7 linked regions of the Macaca mulatta genome follow. The main gene of each other region encodes a partner of the protein of the gene in region 5 in a complex. Links are inferred from orthologs where the notes say so. Each region holds a gene or a part of one and is shown on either strand. Other genes may lie near its edges. The genes, in order: ACAD9, TMEM186, SURF1, NDUFAF1, COA1, TMEM126B and CMC1.

What was found.
Region 1: COA1 (region 5) and ACAD9 share a complex: the UniProt entries of both Homo sapiens proteins name them as parts of the mitochondrial complex. The link is inferred for Macaca mulatta from reciprocal best matches to the Homo sapiens genes COA1 and ACAD9.
Region 2: COA1 (region 5) and TMEM186 share a complex: the UniProt entries of both Homo sapiens proteins name them as parts of the mitochondrial complex. The link is inferred for Macaca mulatta from reciprocal best matches to the Homo sapiens genes COA1 and TMEM186.
Region 3: COA1 (region 5) and SURF1 share a complex: the UniProt entries of both Homo sapiens proteins name them as parts of the MITRAC (mitochondrial translation regulation assembly intermediate of cytochrome c oxidase complex) complex. The link is inferred for Macaca mulatta from reciprocal best matches to the Homo sapiens genes COA1 and SURF1.
Region 4: COA1 (region 5) and NDUFAF1 share a complex: the UniProt entries of both Homo sapiens proteins name them as parts of the mitochondrial complex. The link is inferred for Macaca mulatta from reciprocal best matches to the Homo sapiens genes COA1 and NDUFAF1.
Region 6: COA1 (region 5) and TMEM126B share a complex: the UniProt entries of both Homo sapiens proteins name them as parts of the mitochondrial complex. The link is inferred for Macaca mulatta from reciprocal best matches to the Homo sapiens genes COA1 and TMEM126B.
Region 7: COA1 (region 5) and CMC1 share a complex: the UniProt entries of both Homo sapiens proteins name them as parts of the MITRAC (mitochondrial translation regulation assembly intermediate of cytochrome c oxidase complex) complex. The link is inferred for Macaca mulatta from reciprocal best matches to the Homo sapiens genes COA1 and CMC1.

The regions. Positions count from the first base shown.
Region 1 is NC_133407.1:155,085,261-155,089,241, forward strand, and holds the start of ACAD9 (complex I assembly factor ACAD9, mitochondrial), read right to left. Parts: upstream 2,801-3,981; 5' UTR 2,738-2,800; coding exon 2,588-2,737; exon of another isoform or gene 2,412-2,587; intron 1-2,411. UniProt on the Homo sapiens protein: As part of the MCIA complex, primarily participates in the assembly of the mitochondrial complex I and therefore plays a role in oxidative phosphorylation.
Region 2 is NC_133425.1:10,021,461-10,025,592, reverse strand, and holds TMEM186 (transmembrane protein 186), read left to right. Parts: upstream 1-1,332; 5' UTR 1,333-1,357; coding exon 1,358-1,360; intron 1,361-2,386; coding exon 2,387-3,025; 3' UTR 3,026-3,792; downstream 3,793-4,132. Other genes in the region: PMM2 (phosphomannomutase 2), read right to left, coding at 1,024-1,089. UniProt on the Homo sapiens protein: As part of the MCIA complex, required for efficient assembly of the mitochondrial complex I.
Region 3 is NC_133420.1:9,172,817-9,175,934, reverse strand, and holds the end of SURF1 (surfeit locus protein 1), read right to left. Parts: coding exon 3,111-3,118; intron 2,170-3,110; coding exon 2,097-2,169; intron 2,014-2,096; coding exon 1,851-2,013; intron 1,545-1,850; coding exon 1,463-1,544; intron 1,385-1,462; coding exon 1,315-1,384; 3' UTR 790-1,314; coding exon of another isoform or gene 685-789; 3' UTR 508-684; downstream 1-507. Other genes in the region: RPL7A (large ribosomal subunit protein eL8), read left to right, coding at 438-507, 685-789. UniProt on the Homo sapiens protein: Component of the MITRAC (mitochondrial translation regulation assembly intermediate of cytochrome c oxidase complex) complex, that regulates cytochrome c oxidase assembly.
Region 4 is NC_133412.1:18,739,133-18,742,632, reverse strand, and holds part of NDUFAF1 (complex I intermediate-associated protein 30, mitochondrial), read left to right. Parts: intron 1-1,529; coding exon 1,530-1,715; intron 1,716-3,500. UniProt on the Homo sapiens protein: As part of the MCIA complex, involved in the assembly of the mitochondrial complex I.
Region 5 is NC_133408.1:84,623,426-84,627,707, forward strand, and holds the start of COA1 (cytochrome c oxidase assembly factor 1 homolog), read left to right. Parts: upstream 1-1,482; 5' UTR 1,483-1,578; exon of another isoform or gene 1,579-2,059; intron 2,060-4,282. UniProt on the Homo sapiens protein: Component of the MITRAC (mitochondrial translation regulation assembly intermediate of cytochrome c oxidase complex) complex, that regulates cytochrome c oxidase assembly.
Region 6 is NC_133419.1:86,220,570-86,224,685, forward strand, and holds the start of TMEM126B (complex I assembly factor TMEM126B, mitochondrial), read left to right. Parts: upstream 1-1,316; 5' UTR 1,317-1,322; coding exon 1,323-1,403; intron 1,404-4,116. UniProt on the Homo sapiens protein: As part of the MCIA complex, involved in the assembly of the mitochondrial complex I. Participates in constructing the membrane arm of complex I.
Region 7 is NC_133407.1:20,311,549-20,315,572, reverse strand, and holds the start of CMC1 (COX assembly mitochondrial protein homolog), read left to right. Parts: upstream 1-1,224; 5' UTR 1,225-1,388; coding exon 1,389-1,407; intron 1,408-4,024. UniProt on the Homo sapiens protein: Component of the MITRAC (mitochondrial translation regulation assembly intermediate of cytochrome c oxidase complex) complex, that regulates cytochrome c oxidase assembly.

The sequences.
Region 1 (3,981 bases), on a different chromosome or scaffold from region 5:
GAAAACCAGATCTTCTGTGGAATTAGACGTGAACTAGGAGAATAAGAGTACAAGGTGACGCCAGGTGTTCTGTCTGAACAGGTGGAACAACAGAGCCACCATTATCTATGATAAAAGAAGGCTGGTGGAAGGACCAGGATTGGGTGGGAACCAGGAACTCAGTTTTGGATCTATTAATCTCAAACGCCTGTTAAACCTCTTAGCAGAGCTTTTGAGTACAAAGGTAGATTTAAAAAAGGACCTTGGCTGGGTGTGGCAGGGCGTGCCTAGTCCCAGCTACTGGGGATGCTGAGGTGGGAGGATCTCTTGAGCCTAGGAGTTCAAGGTTGCAGTGAGCTATGATGGTACCACTGCACTCCAGCCCGGGTGACAGAGGAAGGCCCCAACTCTGAAAAAGCAAAAGGAATCTGGAGCTCAGGGAGAAATCTGAACTGGAAAAAGAAATTTGAGGCATCAGGATATTGATGATATTTAAAGCCAGGACACTAAATAAGGTCACCCAGGAGATGGTTGTAGATGAAAAGACATCCACAGACCCAGCCTTAGTAAATTCCAACTTGGCTAGTTGGAAACACTGGTCATTGTTTAGCAGTAAAGGAGCTAAAAAAGAACTAGCAATTGACACAGAGAAGTATCAGTCAGTGAAGTATTTAGAACATTCAGAGAACGATGAGAATAGTGATTCAGAAACTAGAGAAGAAAGTGTGTCAACAGGGTAGAAGAACGAACAGCGTCAGATGCCAATGATGGGCCAAGTAGGATGAGGTCTGAGAACAGATCACACGATTTGACAACAGAGAGGTCACTACTGACTTCCATGGCCATTAGGGACAAACGTCTGAATGGTAAGGTCTCAAAATCCAGTAGAGAGAACAGTTAATGATTCCGAGAAAGGAAAGAATTACCCTTGAGTAGGTGAGAAGGCCTGGGGTCTAATGAGAGGTTGGTTTTGCCAGAAGCAGACAGTTCAGTCATAGTAACAGAATGTAGATAATATGGGCACATGCAGGGGGAGGGGGTAACTATGCCTGTGAAGTTCTCATCTGACTGCATGGATTTTCTCAGTGGAATGGGAAGCAAAGCTGACAGCTGAGAGTAAGGGCAGGGCAGGTGGTGCCAAAGGTTTATGATGGAAACAGATCTGAAGGATTTGTGTTCTTTCTTCACCATGCTGCTGGAAAGCAGGAGGTCCCAGGATAGAGCACCACACTGCCCCAGGTCCTGGGTAAAAGGGTTTCCCATATGTCAAAGACATAGCTCTGCACCTTCTAGCCGGGCAAACTGCTTTTAGTCTGAGTCTTAGCTTCCGCATCAATAAGGTTGCTTGCTATAAAGGGATCAGCCTGACAACCTCAGAGGAATGTTCCAAAGAGAAGCCAGGGAATAACTTCCGTGATAGAGGATCAGCCAACATTCAGCCAAGCTCAAAGCAGGGCACCTCGAGGAAATAGCAAGTATACTGTTGCTTTCCTTAGAAGATAAAATAAAACACAAAGGAAAAAGCAAGAAATGTGTTTATTCCTATTTTGTAGATGAAGGCACTGAGGCACAGGGAGGTGAAACCATCAGCTCCAAGGTCATAAGACTAGTGTTGAAGCCAGTTCTCTCTTCTGCTGCACAGTACTCTACAGTTTAAGACGATTCTCCATGCACCATTTATCTCACTGGGGCTCTACAACACCTCTGTGAAGGAGACACAACACTATTTCCATTTTAAGGCTGAAAGAACTGAGTCTCGGCCGGGAGTGGTGGCTCACGCCTGTAATCCTAGTACTTTGGAAAGCCGAGGCGGGTGGACCACCTGAGATCAGGAGTTCGAGACCAGCTTTGCCAACATGGTGAAACTCCATCTCTGCTAAAAATACAAAAAAAAAAAAAAAAAAAAAAAAAAAACCGGGCATGGTGGCGGGCGCCTGTAATCCCAGCTACTCCGGAGGCTGAGGCAGGAAAATCGCTTGAACCCAGGAGGCGGAGGTTGTAGTGAGCACTCCAGCCTGGGCGACAAGAGCGAGACTCTGTCTCAAAAAAAAGAACTGAGTTTCAAAGTCAACGAGCCAAGACCAAACCCAAGTCTTCCAACTCTAAGAGGACAATGAGTGTTTTATAACCAAACTGTTACTACTGGCAGGGTTGTGCGACGCCCGGGAAGCATCTTGGAGCCAGATTTCTGAGGAACCTCAATGGCTGGGAGAGGCGCTACGGCTCAACTGGGGAAGGAAGCCCCAGGGCGCTGGAAGGTGACTGAGGAGGGACACGGTCTAAACTGTTTAGGAATAAGAGAGGAAGCCCCGCACATTTCCAGACCAGACCAGCTGAGATGAAGGCTGCTTTGTAAATTACCTAGCCTAGAGTTTTCCAAATTCTGACAAAATTTACACTTCCAAGGGTCCTCCGTCTAGGAAATGTCCCACCCTTTCTCTAGGAAGGTTTTCCTGGAACTCAGGAATCCAGAGTGTTAACACGCCTCGCCCGCAGGGTGTGTCTCTCTGGCAGGTTTGGGGAATCCGACAAAGCTGAACACCAATCTTGCAGCTGAGGATGAAAAGCGGGAGCCAGACAGCAAGGATTCGCCCAGGGCTCGCGTTACCTTCTTGATTTTGCCCAGGAAAAGCTCTTTGGCGAAAGCTCGTATAGGCGGGCTGGTGCGCAGTAGCCGCCGGTTCGCGGTAGAGACCACCAGACCCCGGCAGGCACGAGCCGCAGCCGTGGTACGCAGGAAGAGCCTGCACCAGCTCATGCCGCCCGCTGTTCCCCGGCCTCAGGCTCCACTTCTTACTTGGCGCAGCAGGGACACACACATGGTCCGCAACGTCGGATGACGTTACTGGCCCGCGACGCTGTGCAGTACTCACTGCGCTTGCGCGGTCTACCGCAACAGGGGATGGAGAGGCCAGAAGGGCTTGCCGGCTGCCACCTTCCGCGGCCAAGGCCGTTAGTCATGTGCACCTGGCTGGTCCGCGCTGCCTGATGACGTCACGTGCCCACGCTTCCCTCCGGTCCCACTGTGCTTGCGCGGCCAGAGTTGCTGGGCGGAGAAAATTGGAGGGTCGGGGCCGCGGGCATGTTGGCGGGTATGAGCTCCGGCCGTCGTGACGGCTGTGAGGGACCTATTTTTCACATACCAGCAGTTGTTTCCATAAATGCTAGCCATGGGAAATCTCCCTGTGTACAGAAACCTAAAGGCCGGCCCAGCTGCTTCCCCTTGCCTCTTTTGTCACTTGCGGCCGCGAGGCTGTGGTAAAACTTGAGGAAAGCAAAAGAATGGGGGAAATGCGCGGTATTGGGGTCTCTGCAGGGGCACGGTAAGGATAAGGTCCCATTTTTAACTGGATGGTGAATTCCTGAGATACTGTTTTGTACCTAGTTGACAAATATTTTCTGGAAGAGGAAAAGAAAATGGGTGTTCAGTCACAGAGCGGTCTGGATAAAACTGAGTCACGGCCGGGCGCGGTGGCTCACGCCTGTAATCCCGGCACTTTGGGAGGCCGAGGCGGGCGGATCACAGGGTCAGGAGATCGAGACCACGGTGAAACCCCGTCTCTACTAAAAATACAAAAAAGTAGCCGGGCGCGGTGGCGGGCTCCTGTAGTCCCAGTTACTCGGGAGACTGAGGCAGGAGAATGGCGTGAACCCGGGAGGCGGAGCTTGCAGTGAGCCGAGATCGCGCCACTGCACTCCAGCCTTGGGGACAGAGCGAGACTCCGTCTCAAAAAAAAAAAAAAAAAAAAAAAACTGAGTCACCTCTGTCTTGGGAAACACTGAAAAGGCAGGTGGAGGAAGAGAAACTACAGAGGGAGCTGAGAAGAGATGGGAACTATTGGATGGGATGGGACAGGCCAGGCTGTAGCCGCCCAAGGCGTTCACTTGCCCGCTGACTAGATAGCTGATTTATCAAGACAGGGGAATGGCAATAAGAAAGAGTAATTCACGCAGAGCCAGCTGTGCTGGAGAGGGAGTTTTAATAGCCAAATCAGTCTCCCC
Region 2 (4,132 bases), on a different chromosome or scaffold from region 5:
GAGTTGAGTGTCATCACTAGGTAGATCAAACCTGTGGCTGACAAGGGCAAAATGATACGTCTAAGGTCACACGCATTTCACGTGGCTTTCTGGAGCACACCATTGTTACCACCAAGCGAAGACTACGAGGGGTGAGGATATTAGTTGAGGATAGTGAGACCATTGGGGTCCACTCTCAAGTTGAAATGGCCGGTTGTCAGTGGCCAATTTCTGAAAAGGGGACAGGAAAGCCTCATCTCAAGGCTGATAGTGACTGAAACTTATCTGTGCCTGTAGCAGCAAAATCTGGAAGTGGAAAGCAAGTTTCGAAAGGCCCAAAGAGGCTCTCAGCGGGCAGCCTGTAATAACCTAGGGCTCCTCCATCTTCCTAGTCCACTGCAGGGGCTGGAGATGGGTGTGGTGGAGGTGGTTACTATTTACTGAGGCCTAGTGTGCTGTGTGCAACATACTTTCAAGAACTTACACAATCTCATTTGATCCTCACAGTCACCATATGGAACACGTAATATCCCCATTTAAAGCTGTAGATGCTGAGGCTCAGAAAGGTTAATGACTTGCTCAAGGTCACACAGCTGTGAAGAGGTGAAGATGAGACTCCACTAGGTCGATTTCACCTGGAAACCTGTTTTTAATATAATGACTCACGGCACAGCCCATTGGTTACAGGATTGAGGCCGGCAAACAGCTGATAAGGGGCACACAGCTGATGTCGGGTTCAAATCCTGGTCCATCGGTCCCGAGGACTAGCGGTGAGTCCAGATTGCATTTTCCAACCAAGCATAAGTTTCCTTCTCTTAAGAGTTCTTCAGCCCCGTCTCATCTTTCCAAGCATCAGAGCTCTTGAAGAGCTGGTTAGGGCCTCCCTCTCATCCCTCCAGGGCACCTAGAATAGGGTCCAGCCCCCGTGAGGACGCAGGCGGTCCTTAGCCAGCCCTTGGCGCCGACCCTGGGTAGTCGATAGCTCCAACTGGGAACAGCACGGACTCTGAGTCGGCTGCCACCAGCCCGCCGGGCGCCACTTACCTGCCGCGGGGCGGTGAGGGTCCCATCCACGTCGAAGAGGCAGAGCGCTGGGCCAGGAGCTGCCATGTCCCCAGCGTCTAACCGCACCTCGCAAGACTCATTGGCATCAGGAACTCGGCCCGGAACTTCCGAGTTCGGCCCCCGAGCCGCAGGGCACGTCGGGAAGAGGAGGAGACTCCGTTCCCACAACGCCTGGGACTAGCGCCAGCCACGATTCCTGGACCGCAAATCCCAGGGTGCAACGCGGATCACGCCCGCCTTGTACATTCGAGCATGCGCTCTTAGAGGTTCCGGGGGCCGGTGGGACTTACTTCCGGCAGCAGGCTGTGGAGCCATGGTAAGGAGGCTGGTGGCGATCCTTGAGGGGGTGATGCTCTTTGGGGGTCGGTCGGGGTCAGAGCTGGGGCAGGCAGGCACGACGCCTGAGTTTCGGACCTGAAGAATCCGTGGGAGGAAGCTCTGGCGTGGGTTACCATTCGCCATTCCCGGGCTTTCTCTGCCCTCCTTGCGTCACGTGCTCACAGTAGTAATAGCTAAAACTCGCCGAGCTCTCACAGCGCATCAGGTACTAAGTTGAGGGCTTTGAAACCATCTTCTCGTTCACTGTGTTCTGAGTCCCCATTTTGAAAGCCGAAGAAACCGAAGCTCAGGGGTGTGGAGTGATTTGCTCAAGAATCCACAGGTAGTGACTGATGGAGCCAGAATTGGAACCAGAGCTTTTACTGCTTCACTACCCACCTAATAATATGTTTGTGCTACGTGTAGGGGCCTCCCTGCCTCGCTCCTCCTCCTCCTCGTTGTTTCCCCTTCCCCTGACTAGGTTAAGGGAAAGCAGCAGTTCCCTCCAGCACCCAAGATAACGTAAACAGAATTAGAAAGTTTGTTGGGATAACTATCTCACAGATTTGTTGCTTGAGTTCCCCACTAAGACATTGATTATTCAGTTTCCTGCTTGGGGAAATGTTCACACCCCCTTGTGGATCCATTGTCCAGCCCAGAGTTGGGACTCCCTAGATATGTTTTGAATTATTGATGGCCGCACCTCCTTTCTTGTATTTCTTTGGAATTGCCTGATGGAAGGAGGACTCTGCTGCACTCACTGACTGTGTGTTCTTTGGTAAATATCTTACCCTCTCTGGGCTTAGTTTCCCTAGTGGTAAAGTGGAAATAGTGATAACTATCTTAGATAGCTGTTGTGATGCCCACATGAGATAACATCTGGCTTTACCCTTCCCTCCTCTGGCAATAATGGTGACCTTGCAGGATTGGCAGAAGCCTTGGAGTATGGTGCTTTGCAGATGTTCACCGTGTGATTAATGTGGTTGAATTCCATGAGAGAAATCGTCTACTGTCTCCCTTTCAGGCTGCCCTTCTCCGAGTTGTGCCTAGATTTCGGGGAAAAGCTGCGTGGGAAAGGCCTCTCCATGGGTTGTGGTGCTGCAGTGGGCAGGAGGATCCTAAGAGGTGGGTGGGGAGCAGGTCACCCACCTCGAAGGAGAAACCACCAAACCAAGAGACTGAGAAATTCTGGATGTTTTACCGTTTTGATGCCATCAGAATCTTTGGGTTCCTGTCTCGACTGAAGTTGGCACAGACTGCCCTGACAGTGGTAGTTTTGCCACCAGCCTGTTACTGGTATTCCCAGGGCCTCCTGACTCTCAACACCGTGTGCCTGATGAGTGGGATATCGGGCTTTGCCCTGACCATGCTGTGCTGGATGAGCTATTTCTTTCGGAGACTGGTTGGTATCCTGTATCTGAATGAGTCTGGCACCATGCTGCGGGTGGCCCATCTGAGCTTCTGGGGCTGGCGGCAGGACACATACTGTCCCCTGGCAGATGTGATTCCCCTGACAGAAACCAAGGACCAGCCTCAGGAGATGTTCATGCGTATCCAGCGGTACAGCGGGAAACAGACCTTCTACGTCACCCTGCGCTATGGACACATCCTGGACAGAGAGCGTTTCACGCAGGTGTTTGGGAGACATCAGATGTTCAAGTAAACAACTGGGGCCTGGACCTCTGGGTAACCCTGGGTCACCTGGATTGACAGGAAGGCTGAGGGTGTGGGCACAGCTGAAGAAAGGGGATTGGGTACTTGGAGACTTTGCCTGGGCCCCTGGGAACATGTGTTTTGTGATGAAGAAATTCACAAGGCAAGAGCTGGTGTCCAGGTTTAGGAAAAAGGCTCTAAGCAAGTTCTTACAGCACTCGTGTGTGACATTCAGTCAGATAACGGCCAGAAGTTTTTGTTAAGAGCCAGTTCTTAGAAGAACCTATGCCAGGGTCACCCAGACAGTCCATTGGTGTGAAATTGAAAGGCAAAGAGGTGTGGTGGGGGAGCATAGGATTTGGAGTCAGAAGTCTCAGTTCTGTCACTTGTCCTGGGGTGGGTTATTGAGTCTCTTTGAACCTTGGTTTTCACATCTGTAAAATGGAAAGCCCTGCTTGTTTCGTGGGATGGATGTGGGAATAAATGTCAAACGTGTGGCAGACTCAGCAGCCTAGAGCAGATAGCATTAAGCATTTGGTCAGAGGTTTTGGCATGGAGAAAGGCTTCGAGCAGTCAGCAGGGACTTCCAGAGCCCTGTGCTGTGCCCCTCACACATCCAGCAGCAGAAAGGTCTGCCAGGATGTTAACTACACATCGATGAGCAGCGATGTCGTCCAAGTGAGCACGAAACCCCATTTGAGATTTGTTCACCACGCTGAGATCTAGAGGCTCTTGCTTTGGATGGCCCTGCAGTGTAATAAAGCCTAATGGACCGTATGCTGGTACGTTCTTTTATAAACTAAAGCCAGTTATATGCATTGCCCTGCATAATTAATAATACATGTTCATTATGCAATTTGTAACACAGTAAAGAGGAAGGAAGGCATGATCTTTATTATTTTGCCACTCGAAAGTCAATAAGAATGTTTTATTGCCGGGCGCGGTGGCTCACACCTGTAATCCCAGCACTTTGGGAGGCTGAGGCGGGTGGATCACGAGGTCAGGAGATCGAGACCATCCTGGCTAATGGTGAAACCCCGTCTCCACTAAAAAATACAAAAAAAAATTAGCCGAGTGTAGTGGCAGGCACCTGTAGTCCCAGCTACTCGGGAGGCTG
Region 3 (3,118 bases), on a different chromosome or scaffold from region 5:
TGTAATCCCAGCACTTTGGGAGGCCGAGGTGGGTGGATCACGAAGTCAGGAGATTGAGACCATCCTAACATGGTGAAACCCCATCTCTACTAAAAAATACAAAAAAAATTAGCCAGGCGTGGTGGCGGGCACCTGTAGTCCCAGCTGCTGAGGCAGGAGAATGGCATGAACCCTGGAGGCGGAGCTTGCAGTGAGCCGAGATTGAGCCACTGTACTCCAGCCTGGGCGACAGAGCGAGACTCTGTCTCAAAAAAAAAAAATGTATTTGAACTTTTGCCAGTGATGGTTAAGAATTTCTTCACCTGAATAAACCATGTGGTCAACATTGTATCTGAGGCAAAAGATTGTCTTGAGCTAAAACTGAAGATATTTCTGCGTTCTAAAGGGGAAACTAAGACCAAAAAAGCCCCACTTTTGTTTTCCCTCCTGCCTTTTAGGGAAGACAAAGGCGCTTTGGCTAAGCTGGTGGAAGCTATCAGGACCAATTACAACGACAGATACGATGAGGTAAGAGCTTTACACAAAATATTGTCATGCACAAATCATTTTACCAAATAACTGGCTGGCTTAACTTACGAGAAGTTCTGACGATCAGCTTGTAACAGTCCAACAGAATAACGCAACTAATAACCTTGAAAATATCAGAAAACAAGTCAAGCTGACCGCCTCTTTCTGTCTTTTCAGATCCGCCGTCACTGGGGCGGCAATGTCCTGGGTCCCAAGTCTGTGGCTCGTATCGCCAAGCTCGAAAAGGCAAAGGCTAAAGAACTTGCTACTAAGCTGGGTTAAATGTACACTGTTGAGTTTTCTGTACATAAAAATAATTAAAATTCAAATTTTCCTTCAGCCAGCGTCTGTTGAGTATCTTCGGTTGAATCTTATTTGGGGCTAAGAAGTACCCTTTTTTTGAGATAGCCTCACTCTGTTGCCCAGGCTGGAGTTGCAGTGATGTGATCTCACAGCAACCTTCGCCTCCCAGGTTCAGGATATTCTGGTGCCTCAGCATCCCAGGTGGCTGGCTGATTCATGTTAGCCAGGCTGGTCTCAGCTCTTGACTTCAAGTGAGCCACCACACCTGGTCCTTCCTGCCCTTATATATTCTTACACCAGGCGTTTTGTTTCCTAGAGATGTACCTTGCGTGTCAAGTTTTGGGAAAGTTCTTTGGACTGAAACCAAGCCAGGATTTTATCATCAACCAGTCATGAGCTCATTTAAGGTAGAAGGCCAGAACTTTATACCAGCAGCACATGATCCAGCATAAAGGCAGTCTTTTTACTTCATTATTCAGGGACAGGGCTTTAGCAGCTGATCTGTCACACACCAGGTGTCCCACGTAGGAATTTCTTAAACCACAGGTATGATGTAGCTGCAGAGAGTCCATACCTTGGGGTTGAAAGAAAGCTGGCATTAGCAGGCTGCTGGGCTGAAGGGGAGGGAGCCAGAGGGTCACTGGGGACTCACCAGGTCACGATGTACTGCAGATGCTCGTTCCTCAGAGTAACTCTGGTTTGCCCTCCAATGGGTCCTCCAGGGACTGTGCTCTCTGCAGAGACAGCAGACTTGAAGTCCACCCTCTGCTGCCTGCCAGCCTCTGCACTACTTCCTAGTGGTTGTCATTTTTGTGTGGCCAGTTGGAAGTCCTGTATGGCCTTTACCTTGGGTGACCATCCCCAGCCTTGTCTGCTCAGTACTTGCCGAGGTTCCTCTTTGCTGAGTTGCTGCCCGCCCCCCCTCCATATACACACATGCGAGAACATAAGCCACGGCAGTGACTGGGCAATGAGAGTTAGGAGGAAGGACAGTTATTGACAAAAGCTACTTATTCCGGGGTGGGCTGGTCACAACGTACGGAAGTTGGCGTCAATGAAGATGGGCTCTGCGCCTGTGATTCTGGCCATAGCTTCCAGGTCCCGGTAATACCAGTGGTTCCCTTCTGGATTGTTCTCGGGGACAAAAGGTTGCCTGGTTTCTGTCAGCCTCACCATCCCAATGAGGTCCACTTCTCCCTCAATCTATAAAGGAAGGTGTGAGACTGCACAGAGCCTGGCGGACTCCCAGAGCCTTCTCTAAAGTAGGAAGGGTCCATGTCCCTTACCTGGCCTTTCTGCCGGGTTTCAGGATTCACTTTCTTCCTGGGAACGAACCCTCTATTAACCAGGATGGTGGTTCTAGGGTAATGAAAGGACTATGTCAGGTGGGGAGGGTTTTTGAATGAACACGGTCACTCAGGCACCCATAGGAACAACTAGAGCACCAAGGAAGGCTTTTAAAACAGGACTGGCTCAGGGGAGCCCTGGCAGTGCCACACAGGCAGTCTTCCTCTCTTGAGGCCCCTTCGTGGTCAGTAAAAGCCTCCCTGAAAAATGCGGCTTTCCCCCTCTATCTCTGCATCTTGTGGTCTACCCACTCCAGTGTGCAACTGGTGAGCAACACTGCCATCCAAGAGTAGACCCCACACCTCTCCCCTGAACTGTGGCAATGGCTGTCTCCAATCCCTCATAACCAGGGCAGCCGTGAGGAACAACCCTGTCACCCCAGCCTGCTGGAGATGAGCATTTGGGCCCTATCCCAGGCCTAAAACAGGAACCCATGGGTTAACAAGAGCCCCAGTTATTTTCTTTTGTACGTGAATCCTCCAGTTCCCCAGTTAATCACACAGGTGCTCCTGTACCTATCATTTGCTTTGCCTGGAATGTTCTTCCCATCTCTTAACGCCCCCTAGGGAACCATCCCTGCCTCCACTCCCTCAAGGTAGAGCTGAGGTCCTTTCTCTTGAATTCCTCTCAACTGGCCTCTCTTCATAGTCCGCTATCATCTAATGTGTGGGCAACTGGAGAGTTCTCCAGAGGAGGGGCCCCTGTTTCACGAATCCCTCCTTTCCCTTCAGAGGTCAACATATAGAAATTACCCAGTCATAAATGAGCCAGCTGAGAAGGTTAAGTCAATGTCACAATTAGAGACTTAAACGATGCAAGGAATTGAATCTTCTGGGTACCTTGGGTTCCTCAGGGTCTTACCAAGGTTAGGGATTGTGAAGGAAATAGTGATGTAAATTAGCATACCCCGACTGCCTCTGCCAGGACAGCCAGCTCCCACATACCCTACTCACCCCAGGTC
Region 4 (3,500 bases), on a different chromosome or scaffold from region 5:
GTCAGCCTGTGGCTTTCTTTTTTTTTTTTGAAACGGAGTCTTGCTCTGTCACCCAGGCTGGAGTGCAGTGGCATGATCTTGGCTCACTGCAACTTCTGCTCTCCAGGTTCAAGTGATTCTCCTGCCTCAGCCTCCTGAGTAGCTGGGACTACTGGTGCATGCCACCATGCCTGGCTAATTTTTTGTATTTTTAGTACAGACAGGGTTTCACCATGTTGGCCAGGCTGGTCTTGAACTCCTGACCTCGGGTGATCCACGCCCCCCCCCGCTTGGCCTCCCAGAGTGCTGGGATTACAGGTGTGAGCCACTGTGCCTGGCCCAAATATTCATTTTGGAATAATGAAAATAGTAGATAACATTTATTAAGCGTGATGTGCCAGTCCTTGTGCTAAGCACTTTATATTATCCCATTTATTCCTCACAACAGTCTCCTGAGGTAAGATCATCCCAGGTTTATGGATGAGGAAACAGAGTTGGATAGATTTAGTAACTTGTCCAAAGTTACACGGATAATAAATATTAGTTTATATCTAGACTTTGGTGTTCTCGACATCAGAGTACCCTTGAGATTGCTGTAACTAAATGCCTTTGGAAATGAACTAAATTCCACTTTTGAAGAGAGAGGCAGTATAGATAGTTGTTAAGCACACAGATTTTGGAGTTAAACAGCATTGGATATACCACTTATTAGCTGAGTGCTTAGTTTGTTTATCTGTAAAACGGGGTAAGATGCTAATAACCTATCATAGCACTGTTGTGAGGATTAAATTATGCATGCAAATTATTTAATGCACATATTCAATGGATGCTAGCCACTGTTGTTAAATATCACTTTTAAAACTTAAGCTCTTTTCTCTATAGTTTTCTGACTTGTGGAAAGGCAGTTGTCATAAAATAGGCCACTCAGAAATCACCGCTCCTTGGCCGGGCGCGGTGGCTCATGCCTGTAATCCCAGCACTTTGGGAGGCCGAGGCGGGTGGATCACCTGAGGTCGGGAGTTCGAGACCAGCCTGACCAACATGGAGAAACCCCGTTTCTACTAAAAATACAAAAAATTAGCTGGGCATGGTGGTGCATGCCTGTAATTCCAGCTACTCGGGAGGCTGCGGCAGAATTACTTGAACTCGGGAGGCAGAGGTTGTGGTAAGCTGAGATCGTGCCATTGCACTCCAGCCTGGGTAACAAGAGCGAAACTTCGTCTCAAAAAAAGAAAAAGAGAAAAAAGTCATTGCTCCATAGGACCAGGTAAAGGAAATACATTCATTTCCATTCAGTGAACACAGGTGAGTGCCTACCCCATGTAAACACTGTCCTGGGCCAGTTGTGTGTTGAACATTACCTTAGAAACATATAACTAAGTCAGTATTTTGTGCTAAAATAATAATCACTGGGTTTATCTGCCTTCTTATGGGGCAGAAAGTCAGAAAAATGGTTAGTGAATCCTGTTGATGATGCTGACTTGGTGATGACTCACATTTTGCTGATAGTGGAGAAGGAGGTGCAATTAACTTTCCTTTCAATATCGTAGGGTGCTTTTGAGAGGAAGTTGTCTTATGATTGGTCGCAGTTCAATACTCTGTATCTCCGTGTACGTGGGGATGGTCGGCCTTGGATGGTGAATATCAAGGAGGACACAGATTTCCTCCAGAGGACGAATCAGATGTATAGTTACTTCATGTTCACCCGTGGTGGACCCTACTGGCAGGAGGTCAAGGTACAGCATAAGTCTTCATTGTTTAAAAAAATGAGGTCTTGGCCGGGCATGGTGGCTCACGCCTATAATCCTAGCAATTTAGGAGGCCCAGGCAGGTGGATCACCTGAGGTCGGGAGTTCGACATCAGCCTGACCAACATGGAGAAACCCTTTCTCTACTGAAAAAAATACAAAATTAGCTGGGCGTGGTGGCACGTGCCTGTAATCCCAGCTACTTGGGAGGCTGAGGCAGGAGAATTGCTTGAACCCGGGAGGCGGAGGTTTCGGTGAGCCAAGATTTTGCCATTGCACTCCAGCCTGGGCAACAAGAGCCAAACTCTGTCTCAAAAAAAAAAAAAAAAAAAAAAAAAAAGTTGGTGTCCTAGGCCAGGTGTGGTGGCTCATGTCTATAATCCCAGCACTTTGGGAGGCCAAGGTGGGTGATCATCTGAGATCAGGAGTTCGAGACCAGCCTGGCTAACATGGCAAAACCCTGTGTCTACTAAAAATACAAAAATTAGAGGCCAGGCGCCATGGCGCACGCCTGTAATCCCAGCACTTTGGGAGGACGAGGTGGGCAGATCACGAGCTCAAGAGATTGAGACCATCCTGGCCAACATGGTGAAACTCTGTCTCTACTAAAAATACAAAAATTAGTTGGGTATGGTGGCGCGCGCCTGTAGTCCCAGAACTCAGAAGGCTGAGGCAGGAGAATTGCTTGAACCTGGGAGGCAGAGGTTGCAGTGAGCCGAGATGGTGCCACTGCACTCCAGCCTAGCAACAGAGCGAGACTCCATCTCAAAAAAAAAAAAAAAAAAAAGGCCGGGCGTAGTGGCTCACGCCTGTAATCCTAGCACTTTTGGAGGCTGAGGCAGGCGGATCACGAGGTCAGGAGATCGAGACCATCCTGGCTAACCCAGTGAAACCCCGTCTGTACTAAAAAATACAAAAAACTAGCCGGGCGTGGTGGCAGGCGCCTGTAGTCCCAGCTGCTTGGGAGGCTGAGGCAGGAGAGTGAGGTAAACTCGGGAGGCAGAGCTTGCAGTGAGCTGAGATCTAGCCACTGCACTCCAGCCTGGGCGACAGAGCAAGAGTCCGTCTCAAAAAAAAAAAAAAAAATTAGTTGGGCATGGTGGCACATGCCTGTAATCCCAGCTAATAGAGGGGCTGAGGCAGGAGGATCGCTTGAACCTGGGAGGCGGAGCTTGCAGTGAGCTGAGTGAGATTGCGCCACTGCACTCCAGCCTGGGCAACAGAGTGAGACTCCGTCTCAAAAAAAAAAAAAAAAAAAAAAGGCCGGGTGCGGTGGCTCAAGCCTGTAATCCCAGCACTTTGGGAGGCCGAGATGGGCGGATCACGAGGTCAGGAGATCGAGACCATCCTGGCGAACACGGTGAAACCCCGTCTCTACTAAAAAATACAAAAAACTAGCCAGGCGAGGCGGCGGGCGCCTGTAGTCCCAGCTACTCGGGAGGCTGAGGCAGGAGAATGGCGTAAACCCGGGAGGCAGAGCTTGCAGTGAGCTGAGATCCGGCCACTGCACTCCAGCCCGGGCGACAGAGCCAGACTCCGTCTCAAAAAAAAAAAAAAAAAAAAAAAAAAAAAAAAATCTCACAAAGCCCCCATTTTGCTCATGTCGTATACTTGAGGGTCATCCTGAATTCTTCTCCTTCGCCCCACATCCAGTCTATTAGCGAGTCCCGTCACCTCTGCTTGCAAAATACACTCAGCAGCTGACCTTTCTAGCCATCTCTTCTACTCCCACCCTGGTCCAGGTGATTGGATTATTGCAGCAGCTTCATTATT
Region 5 (4,282 bases):
TATTAAGCTTGGTGTAAGGTATTATAATCTCAATCTCTTTCTTTGAAAATGTAAGAAGTCAATAGTCAATGTTGCATCAATGAATATTACTCAGTGGATGCCTATTTTATTTCTTCTTTTTCTCTAAGAACCATTTAAATAGTCCTTATGGTTCAAGTATCTCACAGTCTGATTAGTTTCTATTAATTCTTTGGAAAAGAAACATTCTGGGAACTCAGAATTGAACGGTAGGTTGCTTTGATAATGTTCTCATTTAGCTAGTGGATTCCAGAGTGATAGAATGTATGTTTGGCAACCTAATTGTGTAGGAAGAAAAGAACTTCTGTTAGCAGTTTTTTTAAAAAGTTTAAAAATTGTTTTTACCTCACTTAAAAAAAGTTTGATGTCTTGTGAAAGTTTTATAGCATGCATAATATATTAATGCCATACATGATACATGTAAATTTTTTTTTTTTTTTTTTTTGTGATAGGGATGTGTGATCAAGAGTTTAAAAATGCCTTAGTCCAAAGTTAATTAGTCTTGGAGTCATGGCTTCGCAGAGGAAAGATACTGGATTTCAAGCTTGACATTAAGATGATAATAGTGGGCCGGGCGCGGTGGCTCAAGCCTGTAATCCCAGCACTTTGGGAGGCCGAGACGGGTGGATCACGAGGTCAGGAGATCGAGACCATCCTGGCTAACACGGTGAAACCCCGTCTCCACTAAAAAATACAAAAAACTAGCCGGGCGAAGTGGCGGGCGCCTGTAGTCCCAGCTACTCGGGAGGCTGAGGCGGGAGAATGGCGTGAACCTGGGAGGCGGAGCTTGCAGTGAGCTGAGATCCGGCCACGGCACTCCAGCCTGGGCGACAGAGCAAGACTCCGTCTCAAAAAAAAAAAAAAAAAATAGCTAACATTCACTGAGCGCCTACAAAGTGCCAGACACTATTCTAAGCGCTTTACATCCTCATAACAAACTTATGAGGTAAATGCTATTATTATCCACCTGACTTCTGAAATTTTCTTACCCCGGTACTCCCTGGTGTTAACTGGGCACTCAATTTGTAGAATAAAATAAAATTTAGTGCTGCCAAATTTGTCAGCTGAACGGGGCGGCATGGATTTCAGTGCTGGAGTGGGGGTCAGACGGCCCGGGGCTTTGTGTCCTTAGAGGCCAGCGGAAGCGCCACATACCTGCGAGAAATAACGTGAGCCGGTGCTTAAATTTCCTGGGTTAGTGCTACTGGACTGAATGCATTTGCAATAACCGGACGCAGAAAAAAAAAAAAAAAGCGGGGACCAGGGGAGGCGAACCCCTTCCCAGCGCGAGTCCGAACGTCTGAGAAGCAGAAGCCACAAGTCCCGGCGACCTAAGTCCTGGATCCGCCGGCCCTAAGACCCGCGTTAGCATTTACAATCCGGTGTGAGCTGAAGCCTCCGGTTGCCCCGATTCGACGCTCTAGCCCTGCGAGCTGCAGACGCCGGAAGTCTCGACTGCTCCCCGCTGGCGCGCCGGACCGCGGTCATTTACCCGTGCTCCCCCCACGCCTGGAAGAACTGCTCACACTCTCCACAGCGTGGTGGTTCTGTTGCTCACAGGTTAGTCTCCTGCGGCAGTAAGAGTCTCCGTCTTCCCCCGCCAGCGAGAAGCGTTTGTTTCTGCAATCCGGGCGGCCGCCTTCGCGCGCGGGGTGCTCTGCTGCTTGGAGAGTTCCCTCACGGGTCACATCGCGGAGGTTCGCGCCGGCTCCGGGTCGCGACCTCCCTGCGCTGCTTCTTTGGCTCCTGGTAACCCGCGCTGGCTCCGTCCGCTCGGAGTTAGGAGACTGTGTCGAGCTAACGTTGACTTTGTCCTGCAGTTTTTGCTGGGCATCCCCAACAGCACACTGTAAAGAGTTGGGGTCCTCTCGAAGAGTTGGGACTGGGTACTTTTGTTGGTAGTACTAAATTTCAACACCTGGGGAGTACGCTGCCCACATTATTGTAGGAAAGAATTATCTGGTTTAGTGGTTATAATACTTTTTGTCCCCGCCACACTTGAATGACAGAAAAACCCTACCAACAGGAGCTGACTACAAAAGTGAGTTTCTGTGTAGGGGACATTGGATGTATGTATCAGTGCCTGTCAGTCTGTATGTGTGTTTGGGGTGGATGCTGTGTAATTTTTAAAAATCTATGGAGATTCTGATAATTTGATAACCTGTTTCTCCAGTCTTCCCCTAATTCCTTCCCATTTTCCCCTGGGGGAAATGGTGCCTCACTTTTGGATAGAAGTAGCAACTCTTCGCTTACACTTGCACGTTTAAAACATATCTGATTGTGTTATTTCTGTCCTCAGAATCTTCCTGGACTTCCCGTTGCCTTCAGGATAATACACATTTCTTAGCCTAACTTAAGGGGCCTTCGGGGTCTTGATTCTGCTGAATTTTTCAGTCTTTGCTACTTTCATGGAAAACACACCTGCAGGTACACTCATATTATGCTCCCACCATGCCAGTTTACAGTAATTTAATAACTTTAGATACGGCAAAGTTTCATATGGTTTACCCAAGTTTTTATTTTTGTTTTAACATTTAGCCAAAATCGATTGAATTCATAATATTGCTAGGCACTGTTTTAAAAAATGGGATAAAATGAAAACAAAACAAAACAAAACAGTCTTCAGTCCTTTAAAAAAATAAAACAACTTTCTGACACATAGTTCACCCACCATAGAATTCACCATTTAAAATGTAGCGGTGGCTCACGCCTGTAATCCCAGCACTTTGGGAGGCTGAGGTGGGCGGATCACGAGGTCAGGAGATCGAGACCATTCTGGCTAACACGGTGAAACCCCGTCTCCACTAAAAATACAAAAAATTAGCCGGGCGTGGTGGCTGGCGCCTGTAGTCTCAGCTACTCAGGAGGCTGAGGCAGGAGGATGGTATGAACCCGGGAGGCGGAGCTTGCGGTGAGCTGAGATCGCGCCGCTGCACTCCAGCCTGGGCGTCAGAGCTAGACTCCGTCTCAAAAAAAAAAAATAAAAAATAAAAAACAAAACCAAACCTAAAAGTAATTAGTACATTCACAAGGTTGTACAACCATCATCACAAAATATGCTGTAATCTTCTTCAACTTCATTAGTTGGTTTAATTTTATTAAGTCTATTTCAGACAGACTGCAGTAAGTTATTCTTGTATTCTTTTGTTCATGTTTAATGTGCTGCATTCAGTTTGTGAGAGCCATATTGGAACAATTTTCGAACATTTTCATCACTCCAAAAAGAAACCCTGTACTTATTCAGCAGGCTCACCTGACTTCCCCATCCCCACTCCCCATTCTAAGCCCTAAGCAACTATGAATTGACTGACTGTATATTTGACTGTTCTGGATTATTCATGTGAGTGAAATCATACAGCATGTGGTCTTTTTCAGCTGGCTTCTTTTACTTAACATTCATGTTCGTCTGTGTTGTATTTAATAGCATGTGTCAGTACTTCTTTAATTGCTGGTTAATCTTTTATTTTATAGGTATTACCACGATTTATTTTCCATTAGTTAGTGGACGTTTGGATTGTTTCCACCTTTTGGCTATTATGTATAATGCTGCTGTGAACATTCACCTACAGGTTTTTGTGTGGACATACCATGTTTTCATTTCTCTTGCATATGTGCCTAGGAGTGAAATGGCTGGGTCATATGGTATCTCTGTTTAACATTTTAAGAAACGGTCAGACTGTTTTCCAAAGCATCAGTGTGCATCTTTTTAACATTCTCACCAGTAGTGTATTAGGGTTTTGATTTCTCACTCCTTGCCAACACTTGTCATTATCTGTCTTTCTGATTCTGGCCATTCTAGTGGGTGTGAAGTGTGTGTCATCGTGTTTTCATTTTTTGTTTCGTTGACATGTAGTAATTGTACATATTTAGGGACTACAGAATGTTATTTTGATAAATGTATACAATGTGTAATGATCAAATCAGGTAATTAGCATGTCCATCACCTCAAACATTCATCTTTTCTTTGTGTTGCAACCATTAAAAATCTCCTAACTTTTTGAAAATATTGTGGTTTCAAATCGCGTTTCCCTGATGGCTAATGATGTTGAGCATCTTTTCAAGTGCTTATTGCCCATTTATGTATCTTCTTTGGAGAAATGTCTGCTCAGATCCTTTGCCCATTTTTAAATTAGGTTCTTTTTTGTAATTGAGTTGCAAGAGTTCTTTATATATTCTAGATACAAGTCATTTATCAGATATGTGACAGTCTTTTAGATTATGCTACCGTTCTTTTAGATGAAAAGCACATGAGATTAACTTTTAG
Region 6 (4,116 bases), on a different chromosome or scaffold from region 5:
TCCAAGCCCCCAGGCTTGATCCTTAATGCACCTCTGATTCTGATCCTCCCATGTATTAACAGAGAGGATTGAAAAAAAAGGAAAGCAATCCCTTGGCATGGAGACATTAAAGTGACAGTGCTACTCAATGGGCACTTGATGCAGGATGAGTTGGCGAAGCAGATTTCTTCACACTGGAGTCATTCACATCATGCCATCTCTTCGCATCCAAGCAGCTCCCTATCCGGCGAGGAAAAACACTGAGACTTCGAGAGAAGCCAAACCTTCCCCCAAAGGTGTTTTCAGAGACGCCGTAGTAGTATTAGACATGTAAGCATAAGCTATGCAAACGGTCCGCGATTTCCTCAAAATGAAAAAGTGCAGCTGCTTGGCTTTCACATCCACATCCTTTTCTCTCAATCTCTCTTCAAACTACCCACCTTCCTTTTGCAGAAAAGACAAGACATTTCTCTGCCACCGCTGGCCACCCCTGCCCAAGCCCCGTTCTTTTAGGGAAGAGCACTGAAATGTCCTGCACCCTCCACGCGATGAAGTGTTTCTTCAGGCAGGAGCAACAGCAGCACTAGAAATTATATAACTCTCGAATTTGGCTTCTCTAAGACATGGAGACTGGAGGGTCGGGGGTTGCCGGTCTGGGAGATACTGCTGGGCATTTAACGTGCACAAAACAGCGCCAGGCCTTGCAGTGCCCCCCACCCTGAGACACGACTGACAAGTGGGTCTTCTCGGGGGGTAGTGGGCAAATTTCTCTCCTGTCTCCTTCCAAGCGGGGCTAAAGGATGGAAATTGAGGGGACTACAGACTGGGGAGAGGAGTCAGACGGCTGAGAGGGGAGGAGGCTAGTCGGGGCTGCTCTGACGGCGCTGGGCGGCTGGTTGGGGGTTTGGAGGAGGAGGTGCCCGAGAAACAGAGCTTTAACACCACACGGGCCAGGGCAAAGGGGCGAGTTCCCTCAAGGACTGAAAGGGGCAGGCAGCTAGTTCCCAGCTACCAGAGGTGCCCTGAGGAGAGGCAGGAGCGCAGTAACATTCCAGCATTTGGGCCGCCCCATCCTCTCCGCAAGACGCGAGGAAAACAGGGAGCTAAACTGACAAATAGCAAGGGAAGGAAATACTCTGCTGGCGATGGGGGCGGACCCACAGGCACCTGGACCTCCTCTAAGCGAATAAGTGGCCCTAATTTCTAGACACCGCGCCCAATCACAGACAGGATGGAGGGCGCGGCTTTTGACTGAGGGGGGCGGGCCCGGGCTGCAAGCGAGAGGCATGAGCCGTAAACCCGCCCCACTTCCCGCCCACCAGCAAATCACGTGAGCCATCAAAATGGCGGTGTTCGGGTATGAGGCTGGGGCCAAGCTGAGGGATTCAGGTGTGGTGCCGGTGGTAACTGAGGAAGCGCCCAAGGTAGGCGGAAATCCGAAGTGGTATGGGGGGTGATTTCTGCAGCTTCAGAGTGTTGGCAGAGTCTTCCAAGATGATACACTTAAAGGAGATTTGAAAAGTTAAAACAGCCCCCAAGTCCATGCAAGGAGCAGTCGATTAAGTCTCCAGCTGTTGTGGAAAGAGGCGGAGAGAACGTAGATTACCTAAGTTCTAGTACTCATTATCTGCGGTTTGTTTTCTCTTGTCTCCAGGCCTTTGCACAGGCTTTTTCTTCAACTTGGAATATTTCCCTGCTTCTATCCGTCCCAACTCCCCTGCCAAATTGTTCTCTTTAGGATATTGGTTTAAATGTCACTTCCTCCGGGAAGCCTTCCCACGCCTCCTCTGGCTAGATTAAGTTTGCCTTTTCTTAGGTTGTTGGGTTTTTCGTTTATGTCACTCTCTCATTCTGTGTTTAAATTGCCAGCATTTTTGTTCTGAACTCCCACTACATTGTGGATTCCTGAGGATGGGATGACTGTATCTTGATTACTCGGAGGCCTGGCATATACCAGGTGCTCCCTAAATTATGAGAGAATACTGAATAAAATTCTAAAGTTGAAATTTATTATTAGGTGAAAAATGTATTATTAGGTGAAATAATACACATGAAAGCACTACAAAACCGTTAAATGATTTGCAAACTATAATCCACTCTTACTGGTATAAGCGTGGTGACTAGTTGAGTGGCCTTAAGAGGGGAGGGGTGTAATGAAAGCAGTCGATTCTTTGACAGTGCCTTGCAAAGCTTAAGCACTCAATAATATTTCCTGTGTTCTTTTCAGTATTTGCTATCCTGTAATCATAATCCTGGGTGTCTGCTTTCCCTATAGAGAGTTTAGGGTGTAGACTAGGTAGGAGATTAGTAGAAGATATTGCCTGGAAGTTTATTTTGTTTTTTGTTTTTGGTGGAAGGTGGAGGACTTCAGTGAATTGGATGAGAGCAAAACAAAAATTTATGTAAGGTTTATGGTTACTCATGTTATTGACATCTGCCATCTTAGTACAATAGATGGGTTAGGTATAGAATCTCCCTTAGATGTTACTATCCCTTATACTTTCCATTTGGGTGTCCAGGAGAGGAAAAAGATGTAAGTCTAGTCACTGAAAAATTGTAATTTGTAAAATATTTTACTTTTTTTTCCCCCTGCCCTCTCCAGAAATGTTACAGAAAAAGATTGAGTACAATTCTGCGATGATGCAGAGAAAGAAATTGGTCCATTATTACTCATTGTGTAATGCCATAAGAAGGTTCAAAGAAGCTCATAACTTACGTATGTTGATGCCAGGAGCCGTGTATAATCAACTGGCCCTTCTATAGTTAGGATTGGTACATACCGCTCATTCAGCAAATGAGTATTACGGTAATATTCAATATGTGTCCATTGACTACAGCATCAAAAGCACTCGGTGCTATTAAAATGCAGATTCTAGGCCTCATCCTACTCCTGCTGAATCCAGATATCTCAGGAGGGAGTTCATGAGACTGCATTTCAAATAAATACCCCATGTGATTCTTGTGCATGCTGAAGGTTGAGAACCACTGATTTATGAAGTATTTTGTGTATTCATTATGCTTTATCCCCTCTAATCCTCTTGTCTAGGACTCCTTAACCTTGAGATTTAGTATTTGCCTTCAATATAAACGTTAAAATTGAGATTAGTGTACATTTGTAAAGAGGCTATTTGGCTAATCTGGAGGAAAAAAAGTAAAAAGCAGTGAATTTAGCGGCAATAGACTTTCCACTTGGCTGCTGTAGTAGGTAAACATTTGCAACTACATGTTTGGATTTAACAAATGTTATTAAGACTTTTCACAGAAACTCTAGAGTCTTGCCCAGAGCAAAACATTCAGAAAGGATCCTGTCTGAGAGTGCAGGGTTTGTTTTCTTGTTGTTGTTGATTTGTTTTGTTTTTTAATCTCTCTAGTTTCTGTTAAGATGCTACTGGCCAAGTCTTCATGGTCCCTTGACATTGGCAGCTGTCTGTTCATCACACTTGGGACACAAGAACCTTCCAACCAAGGAGCCCAGTGCTGTGGGTCTCTGGGGCCCGGCGCGGTGGCTCACGCCTTTAATCCCAGCACTTTGGGAGGCCGAGGCAGGCAGATCACTTGAAGTCAGGAGTTCGAGACCAGCCTGGCTAACATAGTGAAACCCCGTCTCTAGTAAAAATACAAAAATTAGCCAGGTGTGGTGGCAGGTGTGGGTCTCTGCTATACTACATAATCATTTCTAGCAAAGGCTCTGCTTCCACCACAGGTGGTAATAGGGAACTGGTTATGTAATTTATGTACTTCAAAGTAGTAGCCACAATCTACTGCCTGTTCCCTTCCTGAAGCAGTGTCCCTCTTTCTGATTTTTCTCTCTCACTGTTCTCCAAGGCAATCCCTGCTCTCTCCTACCTCTCTAGGAAATGAAACACGATTTCCAAAATGAACTCAGTCTTTCATGAGAAACTGAGGATAGAGATGTCAATAAGCAGCCATTGTTTCCACCTCCCCACCTGAAGAGCTAGGAGGACAACTACAAAGGGCCTGACTGCCTTCTCAGAATGAGGAGAGAGGAAAACAGAAACAGTATCAGTATGTTATCCCTCTAAACTAAATCTTAAGCAAGCCAACCTTTCAGACCCTCAGTTTCTCATCTGTATAGAGATAATCATTATACTACCAATTTCTCAAGTTAGTGTGTGA
Region 7 (4,024 bases), on a different chromosome or scaffold from region 5:
ATTTACAAAACATACAAGGAAAAGGACCTGATTCCCCGGCTGGGTGAGTGAAACGTTAATTCTTCACCTTGGCACCTCAACCTACAGCTGTAATAAGGGCCGTTATGCCCAAATAGGCCCTTAAACGGAAGACCTGCTAAGCAGAGACCCACTTTCCCAGCCCCGCTCAACTGCCTCAGCTTTTCTGCCAACTGACCAGGCGGAAGCAGCAGCAGGGGAGGAGGGACTGCAGGTAGGTGGGGAGGGGATCATTTTGAAAGCCCTAAATCCCTTGCAGGGAAGAAGCAGCTGCTCCTTGTTTTTCTAAACATCTGTCCCATCTGTCCCAGGCCACACCTCACCCTTTGGTGGCTCGAGCCAGTTAAACGTGAATTTGACAAGAAAGCCCTTCTGAAGGCTGGTTTGTGAGTGGAAATGAACCTAAGTGCCACCTAGAAAGTTTCTTCTACTGACAAGACGTTAGTAGGGGGTCTTCAGCGGGACGGCTATTACCTTCCTTCATTTTATTCTCACAAAACACAGCTTTTACTGATAGAGGCGGGATTTGTAACGTCACCCAAATCAGACTGTACGCCCTGGGGATATTATTTCACAACATGAGGTACTTCTAGAGCCCACATTTTAACCCCTAGGAGAGCCACAGCCTAATTGGAAGGAGAAATAACGATATTGCACACACCATACCGCCTTTACGGTAGAACAAGCTGTGCACATCTAGTGCCTGTGGCGTTTATCACATTTTTCAGCGTGTGGCTTTTATTTGTCTCCTCTGCCACACTGCTCCTTGAGAACAGGGACGTTATTTTTATTGTTATTTTCCCCTCGTATTCAGAACCGTGGCTGGAACTTGGTAGGCATGAAATAGATATTTATGAATGAATGAACGTTAACGAAGAAAAGAAAAGGAACTGAATGATTCATTTGGTTCTCCGAAGGCGGGTGTGAGGGGCGGGGCTCGGACTTTGACCCAGTTACCGAGTGAGGCGCAGTCCCAAAGTCCTGCAGGTCCGGCTCCAGTCACCGCAGACCCGGGTCTACAACCGGTGCTCAGGCCTCCCGAAGCGAGCCTGCGCGCGTCCTGCACGGTCCCGCCCCGAAGGAGCGCAGCCACGCCCCCTTCTCTGGTCATTCCCTCTGCGAAGTCAGTTCCACTCTAGTTACAGGATTGGGGCGGGGCCGGCAGAGCGCAGGCGCAACGGGCGGCGGAAGTAGGAACCTGGGAAGGAAGAGAGAACGGGGCCTGGCTGTGCTATGCCAAGGGCCCACGTTTCTGTTGTGGGAAGCTCCAGGAGGTCGCACGTGCGTCCGAGCCCAAGCCCCTCCCCTCCACTCCCCTCCCCGCTTGCCCCGGAGCCGCCAAACGGCCGGCTTCTTCTCGGCCCGCCGAGATGGCGCTCGACCCCGCAGGTACCCGGGCGGGAAACGGGGTTTGCCGAGGGGCTTTGCCCTGGGTCTCACTCCGCGGGCCGTGCGGGCTGGAGACCGACCTGGGAAAGGTGCAGAGCTTTGGGTGGCATTGCTTCCACCAGCGTCTCCTCACGCTCGGCGTCTGCTTCACCCAGTCTTAGGTCATCTTCTCACTTGTTGGGGGTTATGGTTAGCTGAGGTTGCTTTTGTTGTCTAAACTCTCATGCATTGTGGTTTCTTACTTAACGCGACTCGTCTCTTCATTGTCACCCTCTTTTCGCCCCTTAAGGGCACAGACTCATTTAATGTATGGTGCAGACACTCTGGCCCCAGAAAAATTTTTATATTTGTTCTGGCGCACAGTTTTACATTTCTGTTTGGGAGTTCATGGACCCCGAGTTCATCCTTGTAACCCAACTTAAAAACACATTTCAAAGGATCCATCACTATGGCAAGAGTCAGTTTCTTTGGGAAGGATCTTCAAAGTCTTGAATGTTGTTTTAATCTCCTTGCTTCCAACCACTTCCGTTTGCAGCAATAGTTTACGTCCCCTCGAATTCCCGTCCTTGTGAAAGGTGACCTGCAGTATCTTTGCTTTAGGCTATTCTTGCAAGGGAATAGATAACCAACAGGAGGGAATGGTAATTGGTCTAGTCCATTTCTTTCATTTTCTGGATACAAAAAGTCAAAACATTGAGAGGTGAAATGGCGTCAAACTTGGGAGATTCAGAAATGGGAAATGCTCTTTCGGAGACTTCAAGGAGCATGAAAAATATATGTAGCACAGAAATAATGTTTTAATTGAACACGTTATTACCATGCTAAGTGTTCTCTGTTATCCAACAGTATGTGATATGGTAGGTTCCTTTAGCTCCATTTTACAGATTAGGAAACCGAGGCGAAGAGAAGTTAAGTGACTAGTCCAGCAGGTAGTGGTAGATCAGGGAATACTCTAATTTGAAGCATAGAGGAGTTTTGGAACACAATGATCATGTTCATTTTGGACTAGGTGATTATGAAACAGCAGTTGATCTGGGCTTTGAGGGATGGAATTTCCAGTGTTTGGAACTGGAGAAGAGCAGCTCCATGAGCAAAGGTTTAGATAATAAAGTGCACTGTGCGATGCTTGGTTTCAGGATGACTACTATGATTTCGTTCTTGAAGGTAGAAGGGGTAGGGTGTAAGTGAGGGGTGAGTAAGGAAGGTTCAGGTTTAGTCCCATATAATTTATGGCATTTATTTTTTTATTTTTTTATTTTTTTTATTTTAGTGGGACGGAGTCTCACTCTGTAGCCCAGGCTGGAGTGCAGTGGCTCGATCTCGTCTCACTGCAACCTCCGCCTGCTGGGTTCAAGCAATTCTCCCACCACAGCCTCCCGAGTAGCTGGGATTACAGGCACCCGCCACCACGCCCGGCTAATTTTTGTATTTTTAGTAGAAATGGGGTTTTGCCATGATGGCCAGGCTGGCCTGGAACTCCTGACCTCAAGTGATCCGCCTGCCTCGGCCTCCCAAAGTGCTGGGATAATAGGTGTGAGGCACCACACCCAGCCTAATTATGGTATTTCTGAACTTGAAGTGACATATAAAGTCATCTCATATAGATGAGGAGATTGAGACTGAGAGAGGTTAAAGATTTCCATATATCTATAATTTTTGAATTTAGACAAGGAAATTTGGGAGAAAAATCTTCATACTTGCTGTCTTCACTTGCTTACCTTCCAGTTACTCATAAGCCACTCCAATCTTGTGTTGTACCCAAGGCTGCACAGCTAGTTGCTGGTTGAATCAAGTCTGGTTAGAACCTAGGTAATTTCATTTCCAGTCCAGCGCTGTAGACCATGCCACCTTTTGAGTATTGATTAAACAAAGACTTGTTGAGTGTCTGGTATATGGCCCGTATTGTTCTGGGCCCTAGGGAACAGTAGTATATAGGACAAACAAAATCCCTGCTTCAATAAAGCTTATCTAGTGGTAGAAAAAGACAATTAACACCCCCTTCTCCTTCTACACAGACACGTGCGTGGGCACACACACACACACACACATTTTTACAGATTGTGATAAACATGAAGAAAATAATGTCATGTGGTAGATGGTGAAGAGATTAGTCAGTGAAGAGCTTTATGAAGAAGTGTCATTTGAATTGGAATCTGAGGGATGAGAGGAAGCTAGGCAAAGTGTGCTAGGCCATCAAGTAGCAAATATTTAACTTGAATGTGGGTCAGAGTGTGGAGGGGATCCATAAGGAAATATACTAGGAAAGTGGGTGGTAGCTAAATGCCTAGATATTGCAGAGGCTGCAAGGCCTCAAAGGCTGGCTGTGATAATAAAACATTTGGATTATTTCTAATGTCATCAAACGCCTTTAGAATCTTTTAAAGAGGGCAGTAACATAATTTGTGTGTTTATTACCCTGACTACAGTGGTAGCATGCATTGTAGAGGGGTCAGGTAATAAGTGGCAGAAGGGAGACAGGTTAAGAGATGGGAGCAGTAGTCCAGGCCAAATATGTTTGTATCTTAGCCAAAGATGGTAATAGAAAGATGGACAGAAATATACAGCATCATGAGGAGAAATTGACAGGACCTGCTGTTGCATTGAATAAGGATGGTGA